Linked DNA regions of Schizosaccharomyces pombe. The gene in region 3 interacts genetically with the main gene of each other region. Each region holds a gene or a part of one and is shown on either strand. Other genes may lie near its edges.

Evidence for each region.
Region 1: mutations in jmj2 (region 3) and oca2 together harm fitness less than expected from each alone (positive genetic interaction), as found in Schizosaccharomyces pombe (one large-scale study listed by BioGRID).
Region 2: mutations in jmj2 (region 3) and dis32 together harm fitness less than expected from each alone (positive genetic interaction), as found in Schizosaccharomyces pombe (one large-scale study listed by BioGRID).
Region 4: mutations in jmj2 (region 3) and nud3 together harm fitness less than expected from each alone (positive genetic interaction), as found in Schizosaccharomyces pombe (one large-scale study listed by BioGRID).

Annotation. Positions count from the first base shown.
Region 1 is NC_003421.2:755,810-765,657, forward strand, and holds oca2 (serine/threonine protein kinase Oca2), read right to left. Parts: upstream 6,816-9,848; 5' UTR 5,045-6,815; coding exon 3,092-5,044; 3' UTR 2,559-3,091; downstream 1-2,558. Other genes in the region: xap5 (splicing factor, xap-5-like protein), read left to right, coding at 1-377; protein Emc6, read left to right, coding at 1,556-1,615, 1,697-1,952, 2,042-2,052. UniProt on the Schizosaccharomyces pombe protein: Overexpression causes cell cycle arrest.
Region 2 is NC_003424.3:4,268,423-4,277,140, reverse strand, and holds dis32 (3'-5'-exoribonuclease Dis32), read left to right. Parts: upstream 1-3,011; 5' UTR 3,012-3,060; coding exon 3,061-5,844; 3' UTR 5,845-6,249; downstream 6,250-8,718. Other genes in the region: SPOM_SPAC2C4.09 (uncharacterized protein), read right to left, coding at 355-397, 461-847, 897-1,117; SPOM_SPAC2C4.08 (uncharacterized protein), read right to left, coding at 1,239-1,970; rcm1 (rRNA methyltransferase), read left to right, coding at 6,270-6,405, 6,467-6,525, 6,587-7,774. UniProt on the Schizosaccharomyces pombe protein: 3'-5'-exoribonuclease that specifically recognizes RNAs polyuridylated at their 3' end and mediates their degradation.
Region 3 is NC_003424.3:1,803,739-1,811,456, forward strand, and holds jmj2 (histone demethylase Jmj2), read right to left. Parts: upstream 3,060-7,718; coding exon 912-3,059; 3' UTR 810-911; downstream 1-809. Other genes in the region: transcription factor TFIID complex subunit Taf11, read right to left, coding at 35-634; bouquet formation protein Bqt2, read right to left, coding at 3,532-3,664, 3,745-3,904, 3,980-4,043; SPOM_SPAC1002.07C (N-acetyltransferase Ats1), read right to left, coding at 4,504-4,638, 4,690-4,800, 4,892-4,922, 4,969-5,003, 5,062-5,180, 5,428-5,503; RNA polymerase-specificity factor Mtf1, read right to left, coding at 6,285-7,385.
Region 4 is NC_003423.3:3,227,526-3,233,522, forward strand, and holds nud3 (nuclear movement protein nudc), read left to right. Parts: upstream 1-3,866; 5' UTR 3,867-3,995; coding exon 3,996-4,496; 3' UTR 4,497-4,555; downstream 4,556-5,997. Other genes in the region: serine/threonine protein kinase Ppk24, read right to left, coding at 1-762; meiotic septin Spn7, read right to left, coding at 1,355-1,635, 1,678-1,790, 1,830-2,341, 2,493-2,586, 2,637-2,718, 2,763-2,967; yap18 (ENTH/VHS domain protein), read right to left, coding at 4,779-5,997.

The DNA.
Region 1 (9,848 bases), on a different chromosome or scaffold from region 3:
GACACTTTCTTGCTGATATGAAACAGCAAATCCCATTTTTGAAGAGGATTCTGGATATGGATAAATTTTTACTGGTTCAATCTGATTTAATCATTCCCCATCACCATGAGCTTTACTACTTTTACATTAATAAAGTTCAAGGACGTGATGGACTTTTATTTGACTTTGATAAGCTGTCATGCTCTAGTCCAGAAATGGTTGCAACTACACAACTTCCTTCTCAATGCATTCCTCATCTAGTTCAAAAATCATATTATTTACAAAATCGCCATGTGTTTCCATGTGTGCATTGGGAAGTCTTTGATTCTCGAAAAGATTATTCATTGGAAAAGCATGCAACTGATCCTAACGCTGCATTATTTTACCGGCCCTCATAATGCCTTTTAAAAAGTTTTCGATTTTTTTTCTCTTGGTTCTTTATTTTTGTTTTGCATACTCATACTTCCCTCATCGACTAATTTAATAACAATTTCATTACAACTATATTGTTTTTATGTTTGTATTTTAAACAAATGAATTGCGCCAAACATATAACTTGATAAGCTATACAAAGAGAGAGACTTTGGTAAAAAAGAAACAGATATTATCCACTAAGTATTCGCAATGGGTTTTAGTATTTACACTTACTACTCTCAACATCACTCCAACCTTGACTGAAAACCTTGATTTCATTGATGTGCTATAGGATATTGTAAAATAAAGTAATTAAAAAATTAGCAATTCGCTTTTGGAATTATTAAATGTTTCCTTTATTATTGAATTCTCATATTTCTGCTTGTTTTTATTTAATGTATCGCAGCGTTGGTATGCAAATACATAGTATTTGATCATAAACATATTAACGATACGTTAATTTGCGGTGGATTATACTGTGCTATTTAGGTATACAATTTTTGGTAAAGAAAAAAGTGATCGTGACTGAATGATGAGAATAACTATTCTATTGTAAATAAGAAATGAAATTCGCTTTTCGTTCTCTTGGAAGTATAAGCATGTCGCTTTTACGAATGTTCACGAGTCTCTAATCCTTTCGGTATACTGTAAACAATCTAGTATGTAACGTTTCATCCACCATTTTCAAGTTTTAGAATTAGAAAACCAGTAATACAGGAAATATAAGATGATACTTTTTTCTAAAACAAATAAATATGAAAAATCGACCTTGATGTAAAACGAGAACCTCTTTTAAACAATGCGATTTCCCAATATCCTAGTAATTAGCCCATTTCTGTTCAAAAAAATCAAATGGAAAAAAATAAAGTACTCAATTGTATTGAATAAACTATTTCACCCTCCAAACTAGCCAACATTCAGCCCAAGCAAAAAGTAATGCTTTTTCCCATATCCATATCGCTTGTAGCTTTACATGAAAGATTGGCAATTACGCAGTTTGCAAAATGCTTTTAAGGATACGTCAAGCTGCGAAAAAATTACGTTCCTACTAAGTCCTTATGTAGTTAATACCGCAGTATAAAGATGCGTTATCCATCATTTTTTGGTTATAATTCTACAAGCGGTGAACTCAACTAAACATCAGAATTGTTCATAAGCTAATATGGAAAGGGATAAAGGCGTCGCTCCAATTGTTGTAGAAAATGTTGCATATAATGAACAGGTAAGAAATGATTGCAGAGCTAGATTTTCTTGGTACTAGTTTTTTTAAGGATTTTATAATTGAGTGCTAATGAATCCAAAGGTCGTTTCTTTTGTTCGAAACTTGACTTCTAGTTTTTTCGGGTGCGCAGCTGGTATTTTGGGTTTAACTTCATATGAAGGGCTTGCTCTGTATGTACTCGGTTACTTCTTCGTCTCCTTTCTACTCTTTGCATTGAAAATGCGTGGTAACTTAACTAAGTATTACCAGCCCGGATATAAGTTTTGGATCGCTAAAATATTAGATGGCGCACCTTCTTATGTTTTAACTTGGACATTGTTCTACAGTTTAGTATATGGTAAGAAACTTGCTCGATCGTTGCTATTTTATTTTGTTTGAATAGTCAGATCTCGCATTGAAACAATTACACGCTAACTAAGTCATTAGTTTATGAGTAATGTGTTTAATTTGATTTATGCATTTGGCAATTAATCCAAGATGAACCCTCCTTATTCTTGTTCAGCCCTTTCGTTAATAACACATATACCTCATTAAGATCTATTGTTTGAGAAAAAAGTGGATCTCTTCCTTTTGTTCGTGAACCCATCCTATAAATATTTTGTATTTCCTAATAAAACACAAATCTAACTGTTTTTTTACATTTCTTTACTTTTCCTATAGAAAATAGGATATTTGTTTAAAATATATTTGTCCTGTCAGCGATGCTAGAACATAGCACACACATTCCGTTGTATTCATGTCGTCTTCCTTAAATTTGATTTCGAAAACTTTGCATGAGATATGTTCTACTTCTTTAAGAAATTGTCTCTAGTGCTTAAAAACTAGCTGCTTCAGGGCACATGGATGCCTAGGCATTTATTTTTTGAACACGTGTTTTACCATTATTATACAGTTGAAGTAAACACTGCATATATTCAATATTTGCAACAACTTTGACAACGGTTGAAAAGGACAAAATATCATATTCAAACACGATCTTTGAAAATTTTGAGACTAATGAATTGTATTGTATTATCTAAACTTACTAAAAAATGAAAACCAAATTCAAAGATGCGACAATTTTACATTTATTTTCAAAATTGTAGAGATATTTTTAATCTACCACAGTAGATTTCCCCTATTTACCATATAAATAACTCATAAACAAGCTAACCTCACAAAGACAATAATAATAATATAATAACCAAAGAAAGAAAAAAAAAATCACCAACAATCATAAAGTTGAGCTGATAAAAAAGGGACTGACTATTAAATAGAGGAGATTATAGTAAGAAATTGAAATGTCCCTAATAATCAAAGAATAAAGTATTTTTTAACATAAAAAAAGTCTGAAAAGAAAACTAAGTTACACCGTCAACGATTAAGAGATTAGCTCATTAACAAGCCACCACATTATTCATTTTTTGGTATCGTTTAACAGATCACCAATATCCAAGGCGACTTTGTAAACAAACGTGGGAAAGACAATATAAGTTTTTAATGCTTTGCAGGTGGAGCAGGTGACTCTTCTGAAGCCACCAAATTATGGACATGTGTTGGAGAATGAATAACTTTACCATTTTCCATATGGCACATCGAAATATCATTAATCCAATTGTCTGCAAAGACCCTGTGAATGTCGTAACGCTTAACAGGATCCAACTCCAACATATGAGCTATAACAGCACGAGTTTCTCTTGGTAGTAGGCGCAAAAGTCTCCAGGGTCCATACAACTCTTGTTTATGAGTTGAAGAGTTATCAGTTTTAGAGTTTGGACTATGTGATTCATCGGTTTTTCTAATAGGTTCGCATCCTTGCTCGACTAAGCGCTGTTTTTTTATGTCAGCAAGTATATCACTGGGAGACTCAGCATCATTTGAAGGCTGTTTCATACAAAACAAACGGAAAGAATTGTCTGAAAGCTTGGGATATTTCCAAGGAAAGCGGCGAAGAGCCATACAACAGAAAATAATGGCGGAGGACCAGATATCCACTGCACGAGGATCATATAGTTTCCGGACCAAGGTTTCTGGTGCAAGGTATGGATCCGAACCGACAACACCAGTGGCCTCAACGATATCGGCTTCAAAGGGGTATTTGAAAACGACAGCGCTACCAAAATCAATGATTTTAACAAAGCAATTACTATCCACAACCAAATTATCGAGTTTCAAGTCTCGATGCGCCAAACCCATCGAATGTAAATAGGCAACACCTGAGAGAAGTTGTTTGAAACAACAATAAACTTCAGGCATTGTCATCTTACCACTCATTACGATGGAAAACATATCGTATGGAGCATATTCCATAACTTCATAGAATTTTTTATTTTCCTCAACAATATCAAGGGTCTCAATAATATTGGTATGGTGCAAAGCACTACCAATACAAAACTCAGCAGTAACCTTTCTGGCATATTCACGCTCGGTTTCAGTAGGCCTTCTTGCACGGAATTCTTTGACGGCGAAAATTTTACCATCAGAAGATCGCTTCATAATACGGACAGAACCGCCTGCACCAGAGCCAAGCATTCTTCCAAATTTTCCGTATTTTTTGAAAAGACCGAAATGATCATCTTGGAGGTTAGCGGAAGATTTTGACTTGGAAACAGATGGCTTTTTCTCCTTGTCTGTCTTTTGATGGGATTTGAAAAAGCGACGAAGATCTAAAGAACTATGATGTTTTTCGTGCTTGTCATGCTTATCATGCTTGTCATGATGATTAGGAACAAGAGATTTCAACGATAAACTACCAGAGTGTCCATGATGACCATGCTTTCCATGATGAAGACCCAACTTTCTGAAAATGAACTGTGAAGGGATATCATGTGGATTTGTCTTAATAGGAGCACGGCGGGTGCGTCGATAAGGATCGTTGGGATCGCCGACAAGGTCTTCTGAAGAAGGGTATGCCTGAAAAATGGGGGAGCGATGATGCTGAGTGTTAAAAGAGCCTTCATCAGATTCGCCTTCACCACCACTGCCGCTGTTTTGTGAAAGAGCAGGAGAGGTGTAACCAGTCGAACCTGAAGGTTTAGGACTAGCAGCATGTAAAGCATTTTCAGTACGAGGGGGAAGGACGGTAGAAGAATTAGCAGAGCCATGATAATCATCTTCATCCTCAGAGGTGATAGCGGAAGGGGGAATGGAAATAGGTTCGAAGTGACGTGCAGCAGATGAACGATAACGATCCTCGGCAAGTTTAGGGTCAATGTGATTCTTTATATGGACGGGGGATTGAACTCTGGGAAGAGGATGATTCATATCATCGTCCGTATCAGCGTGCTCAGAAAAGTCGACAGGATGCAAACGCTGAGGAGGGTTACGAGGAGGACTCGTTATTTTTAATTCAGTGTCAAGTTTATTTTCCAGTGAGGAACTGGAATTGTCTGATTTATGATCGCTATCCCCATTAAGGTTAAACTGTACATTGGGAGGGGTGACAGACATGTTCGTAACGGCAATCATGTGCAATTGTAAAATAAAGAAACAAAAGAAATATTCTAGTTCACTGAAGAGCAAACCACCGGTAAGATTAGAGAAAAAAGTGTTTTACAATGAACCAAACAACAAGTGGAAGGTTTGGTAAAAAGGTAAAAAACAGGGAAGAAAAAAGACAGAAAACTTCAGAATACAACAAGGAAAATACAAAAGAGAAACTTGAATGAACTCAAAGGAATGTAGTTGTTAAACTATTTAACAATACAAGTTTTCAAGTACGACACAAAACAATTGCGTAAGAAAGTACGATTCAAAGAGGCAATCTCAAGACGGAGTGAATGGGAACACAAGAAATAAACAAACACGTCAAAGAGAAAGTAGAGAAAAATCAAAGATTTTTGACAGATATTAGTTTGTAACGGAGATACTGTCAGACGAGATGGGAAATTGAGGAAATGTCAAGCGAGTTTTTTTTAAAACAACGGATGACAAGGGAAGAATGAATAAATAAATATATAAATAAATAAATTCCAAGTAAGAAAAGGGTTGAAGAGAGAAAAGAAATAAGTATTTCCTAAGAAGATAACTTTTTTTTGATGGGAAATCGAGCGCTGACAACAACGAATTGGTTATTGTTTATGGAAAATTCTTTGGCGCAACGACAAAGGAATGAGAGATTTCAAGAACAAAAAAAAAAGGAAATAAGGAAGAGGGAAAAAAAACAATACTGGAATTAATTGGGAATGGGGAACCTTTTTATAGGTATATCAGTAGATATTTTCCAAAGGGAGAAATTCAAGGTAAAGTGAGCCGACGAGACGATCCGATCGATCACGACACACAAAGAGGAAAAAAAAGAGGCTTTAAGAAAAGCACACAAAGGAAATAAAAAAAAAGAGAAGATAAAGAAAAAGTGTGAAAACCTTGGGTTCAAATAAAGTATGAAAAATGAGAAATGAATTGAGATTACGAAACAGGAAATTCTATGTATTCATAGAAAATAGAACGTACGTAAAAACAAAACAAAACAAAAAAAACAACAACAAAGAACAAATCAACCCAAAAAGGGAATTCGAAAGAATGTTGATTGAAGGAAGAATACCAAGGGGGAAAGAGAATCACACAATTCACTCACTCACTCACTTTCGGGATACCGATCACACCAAATAACGAAACGGAAGAAGCCGGAAAGAAGGGAGTGGAATAGGAAGGGTGAAGGGACGAATGGCAAATTGAGTAGAAAGAATTCGACTCAATGAGGATGGATGGATGGATGGAAAATTAAGGGAATTGGAAAAAAGCGTAAATGAATAGAAAAGTTGGAAATTGATTTGTTGTTTTTCAGAAGAAATCACAACAATAACAACAATGTTTTGATGGGAAATAAGATCTTTATGCTTTATTCAATCTTTATTTTTTCGTTTACTTTCTCAAAATTCTTTCAATTCCTGTTTTACCCAGAAAAGAAATCAAAGGCAGATAGACCAAAGGGAATCAAAGCAATGCAATGGACAAAAAAAACTTTCGTTTTTCGTATCGTATCGTATGGTTTGATTTGCTTTTGCTTTTGCTTTGTTGAGTCAAAGTTGTTGGACTATGACTGACGGGGGAGTGAAGTAGAGCTTTTTAGTATAATTCAAATCTTACAATGAATTTTTTTATTTGCTAGTTTAAAAAAAAAAAAAAAAGACGACGAGAAACAGGTTCAATTCCTTGATAAAAAGGAATCAATCAATGTGGCTCTCAACAATACTATGAAAAAAAGTGGATGGGAAAAGGCAAAAAGTATTGCGGTGCACGGCAGGTGTATATAATATATGTATACGAAACACGCAGTCTACTACAGCATCTCCCATGTAATCTCGAATGGCCGCTCTACATCAACTGCCGAGTCGCATTGGATGGAGGAGCTAGCAAATCCACACGATCTCCGGGAATCCCACCCATGCAAGTGCCGAAGTATGATGTCACTTTTAGTTCGGCTACAACGTGTTACCTCCGGCGAGCGACTCCACAATCCGTTGCACCGCGCTAAACGCTGAGAGGAAGAACGAAAGGCTAAACGCTAGCAAGCAGGGGGGATGACGTGGGGGAGGGCGAAAGGGAGTTGAGTGAGCGAGACAGGCGGTGTGTGGGGCGAGAGAGGGGAGTAGAGGGGAATAGCGAAGAGGAACGCGACCTCGTTGGGGAGAAGGAGAGCGAAAGAAGGTAGATGGGGGGCGATTGAGAGTCGAAGGAGGAATTGAGATGGGATGAAAGGGAGAGGTTAAAGATGAATAACGTATAAAAAAAGAGATTGTTATAAGAGATAGAGAGATGGAGAGAGCTAAAGAAAAAATTAAAGAGGTGGAAGAGTAGCTAGAGCTAAAGTGTTGAAATTAGCTAAAGTATGAAATTCACTAGAGTGTGGGAAATGTAGATAAGTAAATGATGATTGACATGTTTCATTCAATACTTTGTATCATCATTTGTCAGGAAATTAATTCCGTTGATGTTATCATTTCATCCATCTGCCATGGTCATTGCTTCGTGCGACCGCCAGTCGCTTCCTTTTCCATTGAATTTGGATCCGACCGTTTGGTGGAAATTTGGCAGAGGATCAATCGGAAGGAATGATCGGGTTTATTAAAGTTGAAGGAAAGAAGGGAAAAAAAGTTAAACACAAAATAAAGTAAGGAGGAGGAGGAGGAGGAGGATGAAAAAAAGAAAAGAAAATTTCAGCAACCCAAATCTAAACAAGGGGAGGGGGAAAAAAAGAGCGGCAGTAAGCAAGAGGAATGGGAATTTAATTAAAGAGGAATAGTGATTTGATTAAAGAGGAATAGTGATTTGATTAAAGAGGAATAATAATTTGATTATAAGAAGAATAATAATTTGGTTCAATTCAATTCAGTTTGATTCAACTCTTGTTGCTTCTCACTTGCCTTTCTCTCTCCTGTTTATTGCACACACTATTCCTCGTTTGTCATCTCGCCCATCCAGCATCCTGACAATGACACTAGTACGAGGGAAAGACATTGGAGCATTTCTAGAGCAAAAGCAAAAGCAAATGCAATTACAATTACAATTACAATTTTATTTTATTTTTATTTTTATTATTATTTTATTTTATTTTATTTCGTTTAATTTAATTTAATTTAATTTAATTTAATTCGATTTTATTTATTTTCTTTTAATTTTTCCTTTGTTTCCTTTTCTTTCACGGCCGCCCTACAAAATTTTCTTCTTCCTCATCCAAACAGTCAGACGGCCGAACACAAAACAAGAGCAAATGCTAGATGCTCATGAAAAAGTAAAACTAAACTCGATTGACTTTTGAGACTATATGCACATCAGCCTTTCCTTTTGTTTGTTTTTTTGTTTTTTTTATTCTTTTGTTTTGTTTTTCTTCTCTTTACTTTTCTTACCAGCCCTAAAATTCTGTGGGTTTGTGATATCACTATATTTCGTTATACCACTCTTTTAATGACATCTGTATATCTCGTTATCTTCATCTTTTCAGTGACTTCGCTGTACCTCTTTATATCCCTTTGCTACTTGTTTAGTTAGTTGGTCTAGTTTTTTGTAGCATTCGTTATTAGTAAGATCCTTTTGTGGCTTTGTTTGTACTTTGCTTTGAATCGAACGGTTTTTCCTTTTATTTTTTATTTTTTATTTTTTATTCGCTGGCTATATTGCTTCAAACCATTTCTTACATTCGAATGGTTTTTTTGTTTTTTAAGCATAAAAACATATAACATTCACTCTTTGACTAGAATTCAAAACAATTGCCAACATCTTTTTGATTTTTCTTCTTTTTCTTTTCCAATCCATCAATGTTTCTATCAATGTCTTACAATTCTCTCTCTATCCATCTTTCATCTCATCTTTTTCTTCCTCTTATTACAGACAGACACCTTCTTCGCTCACTCTTTCCTACTCTCTCTCTCTCTCTTCCTTTGGCCGCTCCACGTTTCATTCCATTTACCGGCCTTCCTTATTTCTCGGTAATGGTTTTTCCGATCGTCACGGTATTGCTCTTGTCTCTTTCTTTACCCACCTTGGCGCGCCCTCGGCACTTGACTTGACTTGATTGCCGACAAAGTCAAGGTGTAACATAATGGATCTGCCCCATCAAACTTTTTCCTTCCTCCAATCGTTGGCCTTAAATTTACTTTTCTTCCAATAAGCTTTTCATCTGCGTTTAAACATTTTTGCTTCGGTTGATGCATCTGACGTGCTTGGGTAACACCTTTTGCTCGTTGGAAGATTTTGCACTTGGTTTTCAATTTCCGCTATACTTTTGTTACCGGTCTTTATCATACTTGCACTATACAATATTATCGCAAATATTTAACGTCTCGTTGGTTTCGCCGAAGGACCGCCCCGCGGCTGTCTCGGTTCACTCTCCAACAGTACTCCAGACTGTGGTAACGTGTTTGTATGCAGCGTAGAAGGATTTGTTTATAAGATTTCAATCTTTTTTCTTTTTCTTTTTTTTTTCTTGGTTTTAGAATTTTTATTTTTATATATTTATTGATTAATTGATTTACTTATTGATAGATTGGTTGGTTCATTTTTTTTCTTTCATCTTTTTCCAATCTATATGTATGTGTATATAAATATTTTTTATTTTATTATTTATTTTTTATTTATTTATTTTTTTCATTTCCCTCTATTTATTCACTCCGGATCACTTCCATCCTTATGTTATTTTAAAAAAAAATTTTTTTTTTCTTGTTCTATACTTCTGTTTATTTTCATGTCCTTTTCATTTCGTTCAATTAATTTCATTCCATTTCCTTTTCTAATATTTTTTTTCCTTTGCGATCGC
Region 2 (8,718 bases), 2.5 Mb from region 3:
GATTCCAACACACCTTGAAAAGCTTCCCAATTTGAATTTGCTCAGAATGACCATTAACTGATTTAATATGGCAAACCAAGTTCTGACGGTTTTTATTTACTCCTTCCCTCTCTGTTTATCGACACTAGAAATATTTATGATGATATTTTCTTTGATTGTCGATTCGTTACTTGTGCTGACTTGATTTCAAAATGTGACAAAGCTGTTTGGATATACTGGCGTGTGAATAATATTCTCAAAAAAAAAAAAACATTCTAGAGATAACATGTAATTATTATATTTCCATTAATCTAATATTCATTACATAAATTCATCAAAACATTAAATGTACTTGACCGTACGACGTTGAATGTTCTAAATAATAAGACGGACATATGCAAGTAGTAAAGCTCCAGACCTTAAGCGAATACCGTTAGAAAATAAAAATTAGAAAGTTTAAAATTCTACAGTGAAAACATACCCTGTGACAATTCCAAATACCCATTGCAGAGTTTGTGTTTTAAAGCTAGCCAATTGTGTACGAAAATTTGACATTTCGGTGTCAATTTCCGCAGATAGTTCACGCAACTTTAGGTCCTGTGATGCTGTTTCGTCGTAATGGTTTAATCGATCTATATTTAACTGTAATCTGGCCTCTGAAGTGGAATTATTTAGTTGATCACGAAACGATGTTTTGAGTCTCTCAACGTCAGAAAATAGCTGCTCAACCTGCGAGTGCAAAGCGACCATTTCTTGACGCTCAATACTTTGTAATTCACTTCGAAGATGAGCGAAATCCACTTTTTGCTGGTACATTACACGGTCTTGCTGTTCTTTAGTAACCGAAAAATCACTAATCTTTTCATGCCTACAAAAGGTTAGGATTGCACTCAATGGGCAAATGCTATTGCACATACATGTCAGAATACACATTGGAAATTAACCGCATGAGTGTTTCAGATTTTTTATCATCTATTCCAGCTTCCTGCAATACACGAACGAACCTCAACGAATTAAAGCCGTGATATTTCCGATAGAAGCCATTAAGGCCTAAGGATCGTACTTTATGTACAGTTCTAGCTCGAAATAAAGGTTGGAACTGATGGTATATACTATTGCAAGGAATCTTTAGATACATTGGATCTTTCAACCTGTCCTTGAGTGGGTAGTAGGTGGGAGCAGAAATTAACGCGCAAAAGCAATAAGTAAAAAGAAAGTTATATCAAGTTTTGATCAAGGCAAGTATAAAAAAGAATGAATTAAAAATTAGACAACGTGAATTTGTTAGTCATTTCTCGAAGGGCTTCTGAGGTATACCTCGCATCGTTGCCGGCATTGTGAAGACAAAAAGCTCGGATGTTCAAGTGAGTGAGCATTTTAGCAAGAGAGATGTTGTTGGAATTTGAAATTTCTTTGAGGAATAAACTTTGAAAGAATGAGAAAACGTTCTGCGTATCAAGAACCGTGACATCCTTTGGAATAGGTATTCCAAGGACGTTTGCATACTTTATTTCGTTTTCCACTCCGTGTCCTACTAGATGTAGATTTGGTGTTTTCAAAATTTTTTTCAGAATACTTATAAACGCAATTTTTGTCACAATCTTGGAGTCACCAAATTGAAAGTTATCGGCTTCATCTGGAACAAATCGACCGTTGCGTAGATGTAGAAAATTCTTAATCCTGTAGTGGTGGTAGTCCCATTCTCCATTAATTCTCATCGTAATCCCAGCCTCAGTTATGATTTTCTGGTTGAATTCATATGCCTCAAAATCAATTACCAAAAAGTTACAACTTGGGTTGGAAACGGCTTGAAATGCTACAAGAGCTTCACCTTTGGCTCTAATTAATTTCTTTTCAGCTCTTTGAATTGCTGCACGTCGCTTCCGCTCTTTCCTTTCTGCTTTAACTTCTTCTGGCGTCAACTTGTAACGAATCCGTTTTTGCTCATGCCGAGAAACATTTACAGCTTTTTTTGCTTGCAATCTGTTCATCTCAGAGATAGATCTTAAAATAAACGGAAAGGGGAATTCGTATGAAAGCAAGTACTAGTGATAACTTAGAAGAGGTAAACAAGTAGCTTCTAACTTCTCTAGCAATGGCATGTGTAATTTCAAAGTATATACTAGCAAATAATCCCAAATCCTTATGTTGCAAAAAATAATTATCGTTAATTTACTATGATTACTTTTTCAATTTATAAATGGATTTTGTTTTGTTAAATATCAATTATTCTTTGTTTACAATCAGAAAGTGTGTTTAAAATATATATTCCACTGTCAAATATCTTCGTTCAGTCATTTCCATCTATTCAAAAATTACAAATATAAGACATATTTCAAATTACCTGAAAAAGGCTTCAATTTTTAAAGCTACGTGATTTTTTACATCAAAAAATATTATTGAATTTAACAGGTGACTCTATCACGGATTTCACTTTGTTAAACAGCTTTTAGGAGGTTAGCATTTGTTAAAAAAAATTTTATTTTATTTTATTTTTTTTTTATTTCTTATTAATTGACTGAAGAAATACTCCGTCTCTTAATTTGATTATGAAATTTTTTTTTATTTTTGGGTATGGTTTCTTTTTTTTCTTTAATTGCAATTACAAAAGTAATTAAAATTATGTTAGTCTTTATGACTTCTCAATTGCCATCCTTTAATAAATAGATTAGTATCAACTTTTGAACGAATCTAATATTACAATTGCAAGTTTAGATCGATTTACTAAGCTCTTTCAGTACGATACAAAAAAACAAAAAAGGAAGCAAGAAGTATACTAAAAACCATACACTTGCAGATATTTGGTTGAGGAAGATAGAAAGCTATGTTTTTTGGATGTATAGTTTATACGCCCTTTATCAATTTTGAAACTGTAGCTTAGTATAGAATGAAGTAGTGTAGATATTTGAGCGAACGTCAAGACTATCAATTTTATTGATTTCCATGAATGGTTTAGAATTTTGCATTTAGTATAAATTATTTCATTTATTTTGTTGCCCCTAATATATCTCCTAGTTGCGCTCAGTGAATTTAACAATTGCATGCCTTAACTCTACTACCACCTCCATATTTTCACAAAGTATGGATTTAAAACCAAATATTAGAAGAAAGGAAAAGCGAAATTTATTAAAGGGAGAAGCTGCTTTAGAAAAAAAAGGCTCTATTGATAGAAAGACAAAAAATAAAGCATATCCGTCTACTACTCACGATCCTCATCAAAATGATGATTCCAACATTCCTGGATTAGGAAGTGGACTATTGGAAAGGATCAAAGATATTGTTCAAAGGCCAACAGATACCCAATTAAAAGGTCAAGATTCGAACCATAAGAAAGCCAGCTTGACTGAAACGAAGACCGAGAAAGCCAAGGTTAAACCGAAGGCAAAGAAGAAAAACTCGAAGGAAAAAATCTCTAAAAGTTCTAAGCAGGATGAACATAAAACCGACGTGCATAAAGAAAGTGTCTCGAAACTTTCCAAGAATTTGGAGTCCAGAAATAATCGAGATGAAAATTCCGCGAAACGAGAAAAAAACAATTCTCATCAAGTTGAAGCAGATACGAATAACGCCACTGAGATGGTATCATCCAATGCGAAAAAGTCAGTATACCCGTTGTACTACGACTCTGCAACGGTTAAAAAAGGATTAAAAAGTGGTACATTATTTAAAGGAACGCTTCGTATTCTTGAAAATCATCGTAGCGCTTTTGCTTGTATGGAAGATATACCTGATTTTTATGTTGATGGGCCAATTGCTAGAAATCGTGCTTTTCACAACGACGTTGTAATTGTGGAACCTGTGATGAATAATGACAGCCCCACTGAAAAATCGAATTTTTTACAGAATGGTGTCGAGAAAGTCAAAATAAAAGATCATGACGATGAGTTAGGTGGAGCAATGGAGCATTTGGAAAGATTAGAAATTAAAAGTGTTGCAAGCTTCAAAGGTGATAGCAGAACGAGAGCTCGTGTTGTCGCCATTGAGAAGAGAGCGGAAATTTCTAAAATTGTAGGGATTTTAAGAGCACCAGGTTGGTCATTAAAAAATGTAGAATATGTTTCCAAAAAATCCTCGTACGCGATTTTCATTCCAAAAGATAAACGTCTGCCCTTTATCACAATTCACAAAAATGATTTAAGCGATTTAAGTGGTGAAAATTGGATTGAAAATATTTTGAAACACCACGATCAGTTGTTTTCAGTTGAGATTACAAGGTGGAGTATTTACTCTCGTTACCCTATGGGTGTATTAGGTGAAAAGCTGGGAAATATTACTGACGTGGAGGCTTACACTAATGCGCTTTTGCTAGAAAATGGAATTAGTAGCTCTCCCTTCTCTGATGAGGTTTTAAACTGCTTGCCTCCTGATGATTGGATTATCTCACATGAGGAAATAAAAAAACGAAGAGATTTAAGAAATGAGTTAATTATTACCATTGATCCTGAAACAGCTCGTGACTTGGATGATGCTGTTTCCTGTCGCGCTCTTGACAATGGCACTTATGAAGTGGGTGTCCACATCGCTGATGTTACTCATTTTGTAAAACCAGATTCAGCATTGGACAAAGAGGCAGCTTCGCGGGCTACAACAGTATACCTTGTGCAAAAGGCTATTCCGATGCTTCCTCCTCTGTTGTGTGAACGACTTTGTTCATTAAATCCCAACGTTGAGCGTCTTGCATTTAGCGTTTTTTGGAAACTCGACTCCAATGGTAAGGAAATTGGTAAGCGTTGGTTTGGCAAAACAGTTATAAAGACATGTGCCAGACTTGCCTACAGTGAGGCTCAAGGTGTGATCGAAGGAAAGTCCTGGGATGATGCTGTAGGCAAACCGATAGGAGGTACGCATACTCCAAAAGATGTTGAAACGTCTATATTAACACTTTGCGAAATTTCGAGAAAGCTTCGCAAAGATCGATTTGCTAAGGGCGCTGTAGAGATTAACTCGACAGAACTCAAATTCCAATTAGATGAATATGGAATGCCGAATAAATGCGAGGTATATGAGCAAACCGATGCAAATCATCTCATCGAAGAGTTTATGCTTCTCGCCAATAGATCTGTTGCTGAACATATCAGTAAAAATTTCTCCAATAATTCCTTGCTTCGTCGCCATGCAAGTCCTAAAGAGAAACAAATTAATGAGTTTTGTCACTTTCTAAAAAGCATGAACTTCGATTTCGATGCATCGTCTTCAGCTGCATTTAATGCCTCTATGGTACGACTCAGAAGCACTTTTAATGAAGAATTGGTAGAATTATTTGAAAATATGGCAGTTCGCTCGTTAAATCGTGCTGAATACTTTTGTACTGGCGATTTCGGTGAGAAAACAGACTGGCACCATTACGCTCTTTCATTTAATCATTATACCCATTTTACTTCTCCGATTAGAAGATACCCTGACATTATTGTTCATCGTTTATTGGAACGTAGCCTTAAGAACACATCCCCGGGTATTGACAAAAAAAATTGTTCGTTAGTGGCTGCACATTGTAATGAAAAGAAGGAGAAATCCACCACTGTGCAAGAAGATAGCCAGCAACTCTTTTTGTCTGTATATATTGCTGAGTATTGCAAAAAGCATGATAAGAAATCTATGCCAGTTCAAGCATTTGCGACTAGAATATCTGGAAATTCTATTGATGTCTATATCTCTGAATATGGAATATCCAACAGAGTAGACCTCAGTTCAGATGATAGAATTAAAAGTTTTATAGTTGCTCCCGATGACTCCTCTGTTAAAATTACGTTGTTTGATGATTCTCAAAAGACTATAGCTCTTACGGATCGTTTCCAAGTTTATTTATATTCTGATTACAGTCGTACATTTTTCAGTATTCGCTGTAGTCTAGTTTCTTTGAATTAAAGGCCTAGTGTTGTTTATGAATTTTTGACTGAAATATAACTTTGTTAATTTTGGGTCAGATTACCTTTTATTTATGATGCATGCCACCTATTGAATGGTTGTTCACGTTTATCCTACACATTTTAAAACGCTTATTATTATTACTATTATGTTTCATGGATTATGACAATTGAATGACTTTGTTATGCCCAGACGACTTATGTTTGATATATTTTTCTCATTCGTGAGAGAAACACAATTAAAATAAAAAATTTAACATCAATAAGAAATTTCTTTAGTTAACAAATTCACTTTGGCTGCAATTGTTGAATATTTTATTTATACCTATACATACAAGTAACAATAGACATTGTGACCTGAGTAAGGTACTCAGTTTTGTGCAGCAGCTTTTCCACTACTCATACCGAGGAGGATCTTGCCTCGATATGGATTTTTATAATCATGCTGCCAACATACTTTCAGATTTAAGTAAAAAAAAAGGATCAATTAAGCAATTAGCATTTAATTCAAAAAAACATGATCCAAAACGCACTTATGCTTTGGTTTGCGAAACTCTCAAATGTAAACAAGAATAGTAAAACTTTAATATAAACGATTTGACTAACTTTCTTCTTTTATATAGATAAACCTGTTTTGGATGAAATAATTGCGCGATCCGAGTTATTAGTTTTAGAGAAAAAGGTACAAATTAATGAAACGATAGTTGTTTCGTAATTTTTTGAAGCTAACCTGGTTATTGTAGTTAAAAGAAAATTTGGCTAGAGTCCTTGTCCATGATTTACTGATGTCAAAGCGAGGGTTATCCATTTCAAATGGTCCTATCAAGGAATGCATTCTTCGTCACAAGACACGCCTGAACGCCGAGTTTGTCAAACTCAAGGTGAAAAAAGGGGTTAAGAGCCATGAGGAGCTGGCATTGAAAAATCCTGTGTCGCTCCCTCGCTGGCTTCGAATAAATACCATTAAAAGCACAAAAGACGAGGTTTTGCAAGGTTTAGGCTTGGATAAAGTCAGTTCAATTGAGGAACTGGGCCCCGACAAATTTTATATTGATGATTGTGTTGAAAACTTAATAGCCATCGATCCATCATTTCCTATAGTTGAAAATTCATTGTACAAGGAGGGGAAAGTGATTATTCAGGACAAGGCATCTTGTTTTCCTGCTGCTGTATTGGCCGGGCTAACTGGTCACGTTGGTGATATAATAGATGGATGTGCTGCTCCAGGGAACAAAACTACTCATTTAGCTGCTTGTTTTCCAAAATCTCATATATTTGCATTTGAACGTGACGCGAAAAGAGTGCAGACACTTCGAAAAATGGTGGGAATATCAGGCGCTAATAATGTCACCATCGAACATCAAGATTTTACCCTAACTGATCCCAAGAGTGATCTTTACCGAAATGTCACTCATATCCTGCTTGATCCTTCTTGTTCTGGTTCTGGAATTGTGAGTCGTCAAGACTATCTGCTGGGTAATGAACAAGACGTTACGGAAGATACCGAAAGACTTGAAAATTTGTGTAGTTTTCAGTCTACCATTTTAAAGCATGCTTTACAATTTCCTAACTGCCGCCATGTCACATATTCTACATGTTCAGTGCACCGTTTAGAAAACGAACAAGTAGTATGTGAGGTTTTGTCGCAAGAACCTGACTGGAAATGTAACTCTTTGACAAAAACTCTACCCAACTGGAAAACTCGAGGAATTCCAGAGTATTGTGCTCAACCTTCAATGGCTGAAGGAATGATTCGGTGTAAACCAGGAGCCGGAGGTACTATTGGTTTTTTTGTAGCCAATTTGTATCACCCTCAAAGAGAGCAAGAAACTTTCAAAATGTATAAAAATGATGATGATACCAAAAAGCGTAAGCGCAAAAAGAAAAAGAAGGAAGTGAAGAAAAAGGCTCGCATACAAGGTGAAGAGTAAATTCATCAAAGCATTAAGACAAATTATCGCATAGCACTTATTCAACAAAGTGAGAGAAGCTATCGTTGTATGATCTCAATTTCTATAGACAATTTTTTGTGTTTTTGGAAAACACACATATTTAATTTTTTTTTCTTTACGGCTTTGGTTAAGGACTGGATACTAAAAAAAAATACACATCTTACGGGGACTAATCGGAAATGGATATTAAGTAGGCAAGATAAGTAATCATTAAATTTGAGCATTAACTAAATGAGCCTGAGGAAATGATGAAATTGTATTTAAAGGGATTACTAAGTCTTTTTCGCTAACCTAACAACTATATGGTAAGAGTAAGAACAACATTAGCATGTGAACAACTACGATTAGCCAAATCATTATCTTAACAATTTCAAAAACAGTAAGGCTTCTCAAACAATGTTGTATTGCTCAATCATGAAAAAAAGAAGAAACGACCGTTGTGTTTATACTTCCATGCACATCCTGCGAAGGTGAATCCCATCGCTATCGCACTGCCCAAGACCCGGTAGTGATGTGCATTGTTTCCAACCTCCATCGGTACTACACGGTTTAACTGCCAGTTGCCACGAAGACTACTCTTCGAACAGACGTGGCAGATCGAGGGATCGAAAGCGAGACTCGAACCCGAGACCACCGAACATGCACTATTGGGAGTACTAAACACTTCGACCAAGCCATTACAGCGAATACATATATGTATTAATAAATTATATAGAAAATAAATAAGTTAATTCGCATAAACAAAAGTTTCAACTTTTCATTGCAAACCCTTTAAAGCTTTTCATCGCGTGCACGCATATTATAAAAAAATATGATCTTATTTCTTTGTAAATAATAAAAATTCTCTCAGCTTTTATATAGTTGCGAAGAAGCATTTACTATTGCACAAATAGCCTTTCAAAATTCGAGTTGCCATGGTGTGA
Region 3 (7,718 bases):
ATACACTAAGAGCCTAGGTATGTGTTTTCTAAATTCACCGAAACAAATGACTAACATGACGGCTCTGTGGATAAAGCCTCCGATTTTGACGTGATAATCTATACGCCTCTCGTAAATGATCAGGACTCAGTGGACCAGTATCCCCCCATTGATCTTGAATCTTTCGAGCTAATTCAACGATTTCTCCAACAAACACCTTTGAAAATCCTGAGATCACAATAGCAACATTGGGGGTTACACTTTGGTTTAAAATTTGGTTAGCCAATTTTTTAACATTGGTTTTATTTAAGTTAGCACGACGAAACACTTCGTATCTTTGCATTTGCTCTTCATCAAAACTCTCTAGAAGATATTTTGTGCGCAATTTTTCATTAGCTTCGTCGTCCGTTTCACCAGGTTTTCCAGCAACTTTTGAAATAGCAGCTGTACCAAAGTCATCCCTATCGTCTTCTTCCAGATCATTTTCTTCTTGCCGATTCCAATTCTCTTTTTCTTTTGATGAGGGAGCAGGCTCAGCAGCAGGCGATGCCGTATTTGCCTTTGCATGAGCTCCTGCTGTAGGAGAATTAGATTGATCGTAGCTCATCGATCGCTGAAATCGAGGTACTGAACTCGCAGAACCAGTTCGTTTCATATTTATCCCTTCTATCTTCAAAAAACTGAAGAGCTCTAAATGTTTAAAAATTGGGTTTGATTTTGTTATGCAAAGTGAGAATGTACAAGAAGTAAATTTCACAGGTTGGAAACTGCTTCATACATAAGCAAGTACACTACGCTTCCTTAAACGTACAATACTATGATTATAGTCAAATTGTTTACATTACATGAATCCAACGATGTTTGTAAATGACCTTGAAAATATAGGTTTATAAATTGCAAAATAATTGTTTTAGAAAAGAATAAATGTAACTTTAATAACTTAGCAACTTCTGTAACTCATTATCGTCGACTTTTAGGCGTAAGGTCTTATTGCTTAAATCGCACTTGCAAAGATATTCGATGTGTAATGGACATACAGTAATCGACTTGCAAGAACAAGCAACTTGAGAGAAGTATGAAAATGCTTTGCAATGCTGGCATTGCCAATTTTCGGCATCCTCCATTAATTCACGATAAAGTATTTCCTTTAAATCATAGCGTCCTCGTATCATGATACGTATACCTAATTCACGTTTGACAGCCTCATGCACCCAAGGCCTTAGCTCAGACACACTTATCTCTGACGCCGGATTTGTCGCTAAATTGTAAACCAACATATCATGTGAAAGTACAGGAGGTTTAAGAAGTGACTGATATTTCAAAACGCCATTCAAAGAGAATCCGTTTAGTAACCAATCTTTGGGAGCAAAATTCACTGCCTCATTAATGTTAAACCCATGATTAATTCCTGCGTGAAAGCTTTTTGGAAAGGTAATCACGAATTCATTAGGCCCCTGGTCGATGAAATAAACATCGACACCTCTTTTTTGTAGCTCATCAGGGTTGATCATTGTAGCTAATTGGTAAAGCAGATCTTTTTGTTTTTTTACCAAATCAGGAGCAATATCAAGAGCGGCGCGTTCAAACCTCTCGGCTTGATCACCTGGAATTCCATACCATAATTTTGTGTCTCCATAATGTTGATAATTTACGGAATAAGTATAGTTATCCTCGACATGCCAACAAAAAGTTGAAAAACACATTCCAACGTACAGCCACGGACAGGTTATACCTGAAACAGGATTATCTATATAGCTTAATAGAGAACCATTTGTGGATGCTATAACATTTAAATTCCATGTGTCCTTAGAGTAAGGATTCACTGGATTTTTGGCTAAACTAGGGAAGGCGCTGCCCTGATCAAGGGTTGATAAATCTGCACCGTATTCCACTTCAAGGCTTGTATTATTGTCTTTTACGAGTTTCCAATACTCTTTTTCAACAATATCCTCAGTTATCTCCGAGTCTTTAAATTTAGAAAAATAATTTTTCTTAAAATTGTCACAGTATTTTTCAAAGTTCGATAAAGTATAATAATTCCCTGTTTCAAACCCAAACTCATATGGATTAATTATACATTTAGTACAATACGCTTCTTTACACGTATCTTCGACTTCACAATTGACAGGTTTGTGACAATTGTCACATAAGTGGTTGTTATTCGTTGACAGAGAGCTCAATCGTCGCTTTTTATTATGTGAGTGATTATCATTTGATCCAAAATTATCGGCTGGCATATATTGTTGTTTAATCTGCTCATTTCTCTTGGATTCTTGGTTTTGAAGAATTCCTACGGACTCATTAGTTTCGGGGTTAAATTGTTTAGATGTCTTCTGATCTTTAATACTAATATTAGAATGTTCGTCTTTTGTAAAAAATTTAGGGAAGAGATCAGTTTCAAAGCATTGATCCTCAGAGGTCTGATATTTTCTGACGAAATCCTCAAATGGAAAAATATACCTTAAATACAAGTCACTTGCTTCCTTTAATGATGCATTAGTAAAAGGAATTGAAAGTTCTCGTAAAATCCTTTTCCATACATGAACTTTTAATTCCTTCTCACTTAGAGATGCATGAGAATCAATACAACGCATTAAGCTGTATAAGTCGATAGACGTATTGGAAATAAAAAATGATTCCGGGAGCTCCATGCCCAGATTGCAAAAAAAACGGTAAACGCGTTCATCGTAAGAGACTATTTCACGAAATCGAAGATCCATCATATGCAAATCCTGCCGCCGAGTACGGAAGGAAAACTTGTTCATGTCAAGTTGCATCGGTGGATTCCAACCAGCAGGAGGAACGATTTTTATGATACCATATTTTTCACCGATTGGAGCTATCTTATTAATATAACCGATAGAGTCCTGAAATTCCTCTTTATCAGGATAAAAAACGGGAGCAACTGGAAGTCCATGAATGGATTTGGAACGCTGTTTTCTTTGTCCGGTATTTTTTGACATAGAGGATAAGTTATTTCCCCGCGTATTCATCCCATGAGGTGCAGGTTTTAGTTTATCTGTAGCATGAGTGTATTGTACAAAAGATGGGGAAGTTTGATGAAAAGTAGACTTGCTCATGTTTCCTATGCAAATAAGTAGATAAATTAGTCCGAATGGTGAGCGATTCCAGAAAAAAAAAGTTATTATAAAAAGAATTAAAAAATAGAGAATAAAAAAGAAACGAAACGTAAATGAGAAATAATAAATGGAAACAACAGTTTTTAAACTCGGACTTAGATGAAGTAAGTTTTTTATGTTTATGCAATGTATACTTGTTCAATTGTCCATTGAAAAGACGTAAGTGTCTTTATGGGATATAAATAAAGAAATTAGGTAAAATTCGAAAATAATCTTAGGCTAATAGCATAAATAGGCATTAAATTAATATTCGTAACGTATGGTTAAGTGAAGGTTGTGACAACTTCAGTTGACGATTTTGAGAGCTAAAGGAACGATCATTAAATTATAAAGGATAGAAAAAGGAAAGGTATTTTTCACAATTAGCATAGAATTTACAATCGGAACAACGCCATATCAGCACCAAAGCATTTCAAGGTAATTCACCGTTTAGAAAAGAAAGCGTGGATGGCAGAGGCTGTAGATACACTGAACGTATTCTGTGATCAACATATAAAGGTTCCATCACGTTCAAATGAATGACAGGTTCAGAAACGTAACTTTTGCTAATAATGGTGGTTAGTACTTGCCTTGGTAAATGATAAGATAAACTATCAATGCAATATTTAGTAAATTTAATAAATACCTTCTGGAAACAGCTACTTGCTCCGCAATCCACCAAGGAGAACGACATTGAACTGATTTGTAATTTGGCAAGCGGACGTGCTTTCTTAGATGCATTGAAAATGCATAATCAAAATTTTCATAACCTTCTGCTAAAAATTTCGCTTCTCCGTTGTGTAATTCTATCTTTAGTAAGAACAACTGAACCATAAATCATTCGACAACAAACAAGTGCACATCAAACCTTTAAAACTTACGCCATAAAGCAATTAATGCAGAAGGTACGGTTTCATCAAAAAAGGCGCACTTTCCTTGAAACATTGACAGGCAAACTGTTGTAGGTAGTTGGTTTGTTTACAATTGCGCGCGACGCGTTTCGAAAAAGAAACACAATAAAAGATATTCAAGAATACTAACCAATACTTTCTTTCTATTTTTTAATACACAATAAGAAGCCGATTTGATGAATTGAAAGGAAAACGATCAAATTAGTTTTATAGGAATTAACATTAGAACAATATACCAGTTCTAATAATTTACTTTGCAAAAAAAAGGATTCTTTATTTTTTAATTTTAAAAAATGTAAGATGTAAATTGATATCGTATTTTTTGGTAAACGGGAAATAACCTAAAGACATTGAAATGACCGCTTTAAAACGAAACTACAAGATCCAGGATCTTTCAATCATAAAAAATTAATTTTCCTCTTTCCAGTTCAAGGTTTCAAAGGTATAACATATCATGCTTCAATTTTTTAGAGCGTTAAGTATTGGGTATGAGTTTAAAAGTTGCCGGGAAGTTTATCAGCAAGAGCCTTTAGGTTCTCGCCGGTGACTCTCATCATACTCCATCCTCCAACTTTTTGTGCTCCAGCCTTTTCATAGACTTCAATGGCTCTCTGGTTCCAATCAAGGACCTAGGGTATTAGTCAAGGTATAAAAAAAGAAATGGGTTATAAACAACTTACAACCCAGTCAAGACGTCTGCCACCAATTCTAAGTGATTCTCGTGCTAAATAAGACAGTAAGTAGCTTCCATATCCTTTTCCACGGAATTGGGGTCGAACATATAAGTCCTCCTAAGAAATTGAATGGTTAAAATCTTGCTATGAAATCAAAAGTTAATCCTTCAATAAAAAGGTTATGAAGGACAATATGATAAGAACATACTAAATAAATCCCCACTCTGCTAGTCCACGTGCTATTCAACGTCAGCTCATATATTTCAAAACGGAACTTTTCACTACCTAAAATTTAGGAAATATATAGCCATTCCTGCGGGCTGATGGCAATTATAGATTAGTAAAAAAGATCAAGCAAGTTTACTTTTTTTTACGAACCTGATCATTTTCTTCGATGAATACTCCATATGCCACAGGAGTAACCTCGTCAATAAATCCAAATGCAACTTCTAAATTCGGAATTGTCGCTTCCACTTGATCTTCACATTTTTCAAATTCTTCATAAACAAAATGTTAAAACCGGTTTTTAAATAGTAACACAAACTGATCTGATAGCATGCGGACAGAAGTAGAGATCGACCCTGCTGACGAAAACCATATATTCTCAAATCCATATAAAAAGCTTAAGAGTAATCTCCAATTCAATAAGAGAATCAGACCCTGTGAGTCTGGGATACTGGCAAAAGCTCTAGCCTTTTAATAGAATCTACACGACTTCGTCCTCTTGGTCATAACGGCGCTTACCTGCCAATTCTTTAATAAACTGATAAACGGTCGGAAGATCTTCTTTAATGACAGAGCGAATGCGAACTGAACCCATGTTTTGAATTAATTGGTTTACTTGGTGTGCAGTGCTAACAGTAAATAATATGCGTGGCCTAATGGTAGTTTATTGTCTAGCGCACTTTAAACTGATGAGATCTCATCATATTATTTTTGGAATGCCAAATACGGGTAGAAACTAATCTAGTATGTTCCATTTACCTTTTTATGTTTGGGAATGAATAATCCGCTTTTCTACTGAACGATTATTAAATACTACCTTGAAAGCTAAAGCAACTCATAATAATGAAACATTAATTCAGTAAACAATTTAATAAACAGCATGGTATAATAAAGAATATTATAATAGTTTTTCGAAGTTATGGTATTTGTATTAATTAACATCTAAAAAAGTTGAAAGATGTAAACTTCCATTTAAAATAGCTCAGTTAAATCCATATTGCATTTATGCACTTTCCAAAAAAAAAATGATACCTGAGACTATGAGAGACATAAAAGAACGTAAAACAAGCCTGAACGGAAGCTATCCACTTAAATTGAATAAATTAGTAATAGATTAAGCAAGCATAAGTTATTTTAAATATGGTGATTAGAATGAACGCGTGTCTCAACGCAAACAAATCCTTTAATGATGTAGCGAATATGGCACAGGCAAATAAATGAAATACAGTGGCCTCAGAACGCAATGAGTAGAACATGAAGTGGAGAAATGATAAAAAAGAGAGTGGTTTTAAAAAACCAAAATTACTGGATGCAAAGAAATGCGTGTATGAACAAAAACAATCAATACGTTTGTTTCCCCCAATTTTCTGTAAATTTTATGAATCTTCAATTATTGTACCCAAATGTAAATGATGTTTGAAAGGATATTTTTGTATAATTTTTGAAATGGTAAGAAAGTCGGCTGCACTCAATAGTCCAACGGGCATATCGATGTTAATCCCACATTGGGTGAAGGAGGGTAATAGAGTTTCCGCACCTGGGCCTAAATAATAAATGGATTTTGAAAGTGATGTTGCTTTACATGTCAACAGTATCCTAACAATGCTTTCAAACACTGGAATAGACAATTGTTTATCTTGTGGTTTGGAGCACATTTCAACCAAAGTAAGGTCCTCTTTATGCGGTTCACTAGTAATTGGCGTGGGTGAAACTAATAAAGGATTTGGAGAAATTTGATAATTCTCCTTGGCCTCTTTACTATACCCCATACATAATTTTTGCAATGTTGACTCGGAGGCAGCTAATACACGAGAGTCTGTAAAGGCCTCTCGGAAAACTGATGTCTTGGATCTTTTTGAAAATCCCCTACTTCCAAGAAGAGTAACAGTAGGAGAACAGGGCAACCATAGCAATACACGAACTCTTCCAAAAATGCCAAGCCAATCCCTTGCCGAGAGAAAGTCTAAAATTTGAGAAACAAATAATAACCCGGCATAACCATGAGGAAGATGAGCAAAAAATAAAAGTTCGCGATGTGGTGATAACTTCTGCTCCTCTTCTGTTTGAATACGAGGATCCAAAACCTTCGAAACGTACACATCTTCGTAAGTTTGCCAATAATAACCATCTTGATGCACCCACTTAATCCTTCCATCAGAAAGCGTACACAATTTTTGTAAAGGTTTGGAAAAAACTTCCCGTGATTCTAGCACAACGTGACTTTTAGGTTGGAAGTAATTGAACAGCGAAGTGGTAGTCACTCCCGGTCCCGGTGCCATTTCTAAAATAGTCATTTTCTCCGAGTTGTATTCCTTAAGCAGATTGCTTTTCACAAGCGCTTCATCCATCAAATTCTGATTCACAAGATACGATGACTTATACGAAGAACGACCGTTTAGGTTTAATATCTTAACAAACCCCGTGGATCTTGGTCCTCCAAATGCAGCTGCGTCATATAAAATTTTAGGAAGCTTCATATTGATTATTTTAGCAATTGATTACTTTCTGCATAATTCGTATAAACAGTCCAAGATTGGTCAAATGACCTGTGATATATTCAATAACGAAAAATTGAAGACATTAATTTTTTTTCTAATTTTAAAAAAAGATGTCACCTTTACGCTTGCTTTCTTTTTCTGTTCATTTAAATGTGGTTAAACAACACATTCATATGCGCATTGTTCAGTCTAAAACATCACCATGTGCAAGTTTATTTAATGCTCGGCTTTAGTTAATTCATTCATAAACATTAACGAAGCCCATCAATTTTACGCAATACGAATTATGTATCCTGGTCAAATACGGTATTT
Region 4 (5,997 bases), on a different chromosome or scaffold from region 3:
GTGCGCAATACGTTGAGATTGCAAGTAAGCTACTGCTTGAAGAATTTGCTTTAGATAACAACATTTGTCTTCTAAGGTCAAAACTTTTTCTTCAATTTGCTTAAATAAATCGCCTTGAGGACAGTACTCTTGAACCAAACAAAACCCAGCGGATTTATTAAATACGCTTGTCAAAGTCACACAAGGGCAGATAACTTTCAGAATATTAGGATGGTCCAATTTTGGTTGGATTGACCATTCCCTTAAAAAATAAACCATTGTATTCAATCTTTTTTTATGCGATGTTTTCGTTTTCCGATATACTTTGGCAGCATAGTATATCTTTGCGTCGGTGATTTTATCTCTGTGAGTTACAACCTTGATTGTAGAGGTGGCCCCTTTAGCTATTGATTTTAGATGCTGAAAGTCTAAGCGAAATCTTATTTCGGGTAATATACGCTTCAGTGAAGGATCTAATCCAATTGCGAAGTCAGACATTCCAATAAACGAAGGTTGAATTGAATGAACGGAAAGTAAGCTAGTATTACTGTCTAAGTATTCATTTTCTAACCATGGTGCAGTAATTGTACTTGGCTTTATAACGACGGAAGACTTCTTGGTTGTTGATTTAGAAACATTTATTGAAAAAAATTGGAAGAACTCTTTAGGAAATCTCCCAAAAATATTTTCAATCGAAAGACTATTCTTATTCTCTGAATTCCTTTGAATTGCTGAATTGTCCACGAAAATTGTCCCCTGGCGAAAAAAAGGATAATTAGTCATTAGTGACAAGCCGCTGAAGCTAAGAAGCCTAGTTACGACTTCAAATTGATTGATTTTTTATGTACTTCTTCTTTATTTTCTTACTAAAAAAAGAGTGTTTTCAGAACAACCTCATCATTTATTCTGTTTAGATAAAGAGTTACGTGTTAGCAACCTCAAAATTGCATAGTTGTAATCATAACGTCTTTGAAAGAAACGAAATTTCCAAAATCATATGCTCACGAATGCCTAAATCGATGAACGACCGTTTACGCATCTACGACTCAACCTGAAAGACGTAATGATGAGCATTGGATTGATTCGACTCATTACTCAGTAATCAACAGTTAAATGAATTTGTAAATTAATATTTTATTTAAAAATACCAAACGAGACGTTCGGCAGCCCTCAGTTAACTCATCGTTTCAAGTAGGTCATAACAATGCACGTGTGGGTGCGGTAATCTAGTAGTCTAATGAATGCTTATGTTAAGGACATAGGTAGAGAAGTAGGTGTATGATTAAGCAATTAAAAAGAAATCAAAAGACTTTTCATGAACTTATACTAAATTATTCTTTTGATTGTTTATAATTTGCACTCTCAAATGTTTAATTTAGCGATAGAAAGGGAGGTTTTCGTAACGCTCATGAGACAAATCATCCATTTTCTTCATCTCCAATTCCTTTGTCGTATTGTTGGGTAGACTGTTTCGACTTGATGTAGTTCTGTGAGGAAATTCCTTTGGCGATATTACTTCTAATCCAATTTGTTCACAGTTTAATTGATTAGTTTTAGTTTTAGTATTTCCATAAGAATCGCATTTAAGACTGCTGGTGTTGTCAACTTTGATGGAGTTAATTTTCTTTAACTCCTCAGATTTTGTAGAATCGGAGACTGCGTTCATTAGCACGAAAATGAGAGAATGCATATACTTACCATTAGTTCGCATTTCTGATTGATCAATCGAAGATCGAGTCTCCGTTCTCTCAGAACCATTTACACTTCTTTTATCTTCATTTGCAACTATGGAATTTTGCTTTTGCAATGACCTAACTTATTAGCTCGCTTATGCATAGTTAATTTCTTACAATGATGTGTTCGAAGGTGAGTCGTTGGACAGTTTTTCTGTACGATAATTCTCATAATAGGTTTGTTTAGTTATACTTTTGAGTATATCCAAATGAGAAATAAACAATACGGTCTTCAAGTTAAGAAAATCAGAATGTGCAGGATCATCAATTACGAATGTTCCCCATTGGAATTTCTTGACGATTCTTTGATATCCTTCTTCATCTTCCTCTGATACCCCTCCAGATACAGCGAATGGAACACTTTCCCAAAGTCGTTTGTTATCCTCAATGACTTCGTCTTCATCCTCCTCAGGATCCCAAGGAAAGTCAAATACCTTTATGTTACATTGTTTCAAATCCTTCATTATCACATCTTTGAAGTTCTTTAATTCTTCTTCAGTAAAAGCGTTGGAGTTTCCAATGACAGGAATTACGTTTACGCGCTTTGAAAACCGTTTCATGGCTTCCAAATCAAACTCAGACAGGCAATGTCCACGGGGTGCAATAAAATAAAGTAGGGCATCAACGCGCTAAAATATCGTTAGAAAACTTTTTTTTCATTCCTCATTCTTAAACCAATGTGTTCTCTTGGTTTTCTACTTAACAACATTAAATCAAGTAATGGAAGTAACTTGATTGAAATAGTTAAGGACGGAAAAACTTTGTTTGCAGATTTCGTACCGTATCAGTAAATTTAGAATTTCTTTTGATTTTAGATTCTTCTATCAAGGCTTGATCGAATTGGCTTTCCAAATAATGAGTAACTACCTCGAAACTAATGCATTGAAATTAGCTTTAATTTAGAAAAATACCTTTTGGTATTACCTAGCTGAATTATCAATTTTATCTCCGAAACCATTTACTTCAATGACCGTAAGGTCAACATGGAACTCATCTTCTAAAATATCTAATTACAGTTAGCACACGAAAATTAAAACCGTAATAACTCACCAGCATTAAATTCCCTTATTTCCAGTATTCTATCAATATGAGCTTTTAGCGGATCTATCTCTGTTTCAGCTTCCAGTATTTGTTTACTGCACAAGCTATTGATACAAGCTTGGTAACTGGTGTAGCTAGATCCTGCTACCATTATGCGAAGCTTTTTTCCCTTTTTTGATAAGAATTTTGGACGATGTCTTGGGCCTTTATTCATCTTGAAGTGTTTGCTGTTGGAAGAACTTGGGTTTGTTTGTTTACTGCTTAATAAAGGCACCGATACGTTGGCAGTATATCCATTTCGCAAACAAGGAAAATCCAGAAGATTTCTTTATACAAAACTTTTCAATAGTACTTTTAAATATAGTTTATATTTTTTCTTCCAGTATTCTTCTCTAAATCATTTTGTGCCTTAATCATCTTCGCATTGTCCAAAATTTAAGTAATTTAACCTTTGACCTTTAACGAGCCCTCTGTTCATTTACTGAGTTAAAATAAGGCGCTGATATTTTGCATTAATTCATGAGACTTTCGAGTTTATTTAAGCGACAGCAATTGTTAAAGGAATCATAATCATGAAAACCCAATTCCCATGCTTATTTTGCATCTACCACACAAATTTTGAATGATTGCAACAGTTGTACCTTTCGTTGCTACATATAACTTCGTAAACATAATGATGCTGGTAGATTTTACATAACGATGTTCGTTAATGTTTTAATGTTATGATATGCTTGTTGTGATTTGCGCCATAGCCCATATAAACGGCTTTGAGCAAATTTCATAATAAATTGAATTGTTCCTAAAACTCGGTTTATTTGCAAAGCCTAATACATAACTTGAGTTACACCTTCCTCAAAAATTGAAGTTTTTTTTTAGCGCAACAAAATTCTACTTTTTAAAAAGTGAAATCTTTAACTCTAGAGTATTGTATAAAAATCGAATGTTAGTAAAATAAACGTAACAGAACACAAGTAAAAGTTACAGCCTGCGAGTTTGCACGACTCTCCACTGTGTGCACCGCAAACCATCAAACGTTAGCTCTTTAACGTAGCGTACAAACTCGTAATCTTGAAATTCCGGTTTATGAAGTCGGTAATTAAATATACATTAATCAAATCTAGCTTCATTTTTTAGGCTCGTAAAAGAATTTGATTTGCTTAGCCAAAAACGAGCACATATTTAATAAAATTACAAAGTAATCAACCGATTACGAAAAGCGTGAGTTGAGCTGCAGGTTTAAGAATGCATCAAGTAAAACTCGAAGAGGCCGAGTACGAGTGGGATCAAACAATAGCCGATGTTGATATTGTCATCCATGTACCCAAAGGGACAAGAGCGAAATCCCTCCAGGTAGATATGTCAAATCACGATCTCAAAATTCAAATCAACGTCCCAGAACGAAAAGTCCTTCTCAGTGGTCCACTCGAAAAACAGATCAATTTAGATGAAAGCACCTGGACTGTCGAAGAACAAGAAAGGCTTGTTATCCATCTCGAGAAATCCAATAAAATGGAATGGTGGTCGTGTGTTATAAAAGGGCATCCCTCAATCGATATAGGCTCAATTGAGCCCGAAAATTCAAAATTATCTGATCTAGATGAAGAAACAAGAGCTACAGTTGAAAAAATGATGTTGGAGCAAAGCCAAAAGCGTACCGATGAACAAAAACGAAAAGATGTACTGCAAAATTTCATGAAACAACATCCTGAACTAGATTTTTCAAATGTTAGAGACCAGATTTGAATAGTTTCATGATTTTATATATGTATAATTACAATTGTTACAAAACTTTCTAAGCTCTATTGATAAAAATGTAGAAATTTCTGGTATTTGTAAAACTGATAGTACAAAGAAGGTATAAACAGCAAATCGGCATTCTTTTAAACTAGAAATAAATCGAGAAAGTCTTGGATAAAGAGCGAGTTAGTATAATAATATTAATAAATGGGTCATTAGCTAGCCAGCAATAACTTATGCATGATTATATACAACGACATGATGGGTGCATTGACAACAAAAACAAACCTAACTTCGGAACGGATTTTTAGACTCCGTCGAAATTGAATTTCTCGCTAAATCAGTTGGTTCAGCCAATTCCCTCGTTGAAAAGGGGTTTTTAGATGCGGTGTACGGTGTAGACATCGGCCTTTCAGGAACATCCAACTTTTGTCCAATATTAACTGGGGAAGCCGAATGGCCATGCGTGAACCCATTAGGAGAATGTTGAATAAATCCAGGAGACCCTTCAGGATACATAATGTGAGCAGGGGACGGTAGCGGACCCCTTGAGTCTTCCATGGCAGGAATCATAACAGGATACTGCTGATTCAATACAGGAATATTTGGCTGTAACGGTATGGTAGTCGGTTGTTGCTGCTCAAACTGCATTCCTTGATAAGAGGGTTGCCTTAAAAAGTTTTGAAAAGGATTGGTTGTTGAAGGATTTACAGGATTATTTTGAGCATACATGTTAACTTGGGAAATATTCAAAGCAGTGTTTGGAGAAGCTCCAGTTTGTTGCATCCCATTCATTGTATATTGTATGTTTGCCATCTGATTTCCAGCCATCTGGGACAAGAGTTGAACTTGCTGTAATTGAGGGGGGATTGGTTGTGGGTGATAAGTTGGTGAAGAGCTGTTGTAAAAAGGGTTGAGAGAGTCATTCGGGTGACTCGGAATAGGCTGCACTATATTAGTACTTTCAGATTTTTTATCTAATGAAGGTGAAGCACTCGTTCCTTCAGCGCTCAAATTGTTTCGCTCCCTAAGCATTTCATCGACGAATGAAGAAGCAACGCCTAAAGAAAGAGAGAGATCGCCAACCTTGTCTTCAAGCTCGTTTTCCGATTCATAATTTGGTACTTCTTCTTCCTCCTCTTCCTCTTCTCCTTCCATCTCTTCTTCTTTTATTTCTTCTTCTTGTGTTTCTATACGGCTAGTGGTTCTCTGGGTTTCCGGTAAACTTTTTACAGCTTCCTCTTCAGAAGACGAAGCTTCTTGTTGAACAGTGTTTTCTTTCTGTATAGTTGAAGAACTTTCATTTTGCTTTTTGGGGATGCTTTTCTTCTTTCTCAAAGTTGGCTTTCTATTTAGAATAGCGGTTTCTTCAACAGGCGATCCTGACTTATTCTGAAGATACTGTTTACGATTTTCTTCAAAATCCGGATCATTGAGGTATTCTTCCAAAGATGCAGTTAAGCTTATAGGTGCATGTTTAATATTTGGAACAGGAAACTTTGTAACA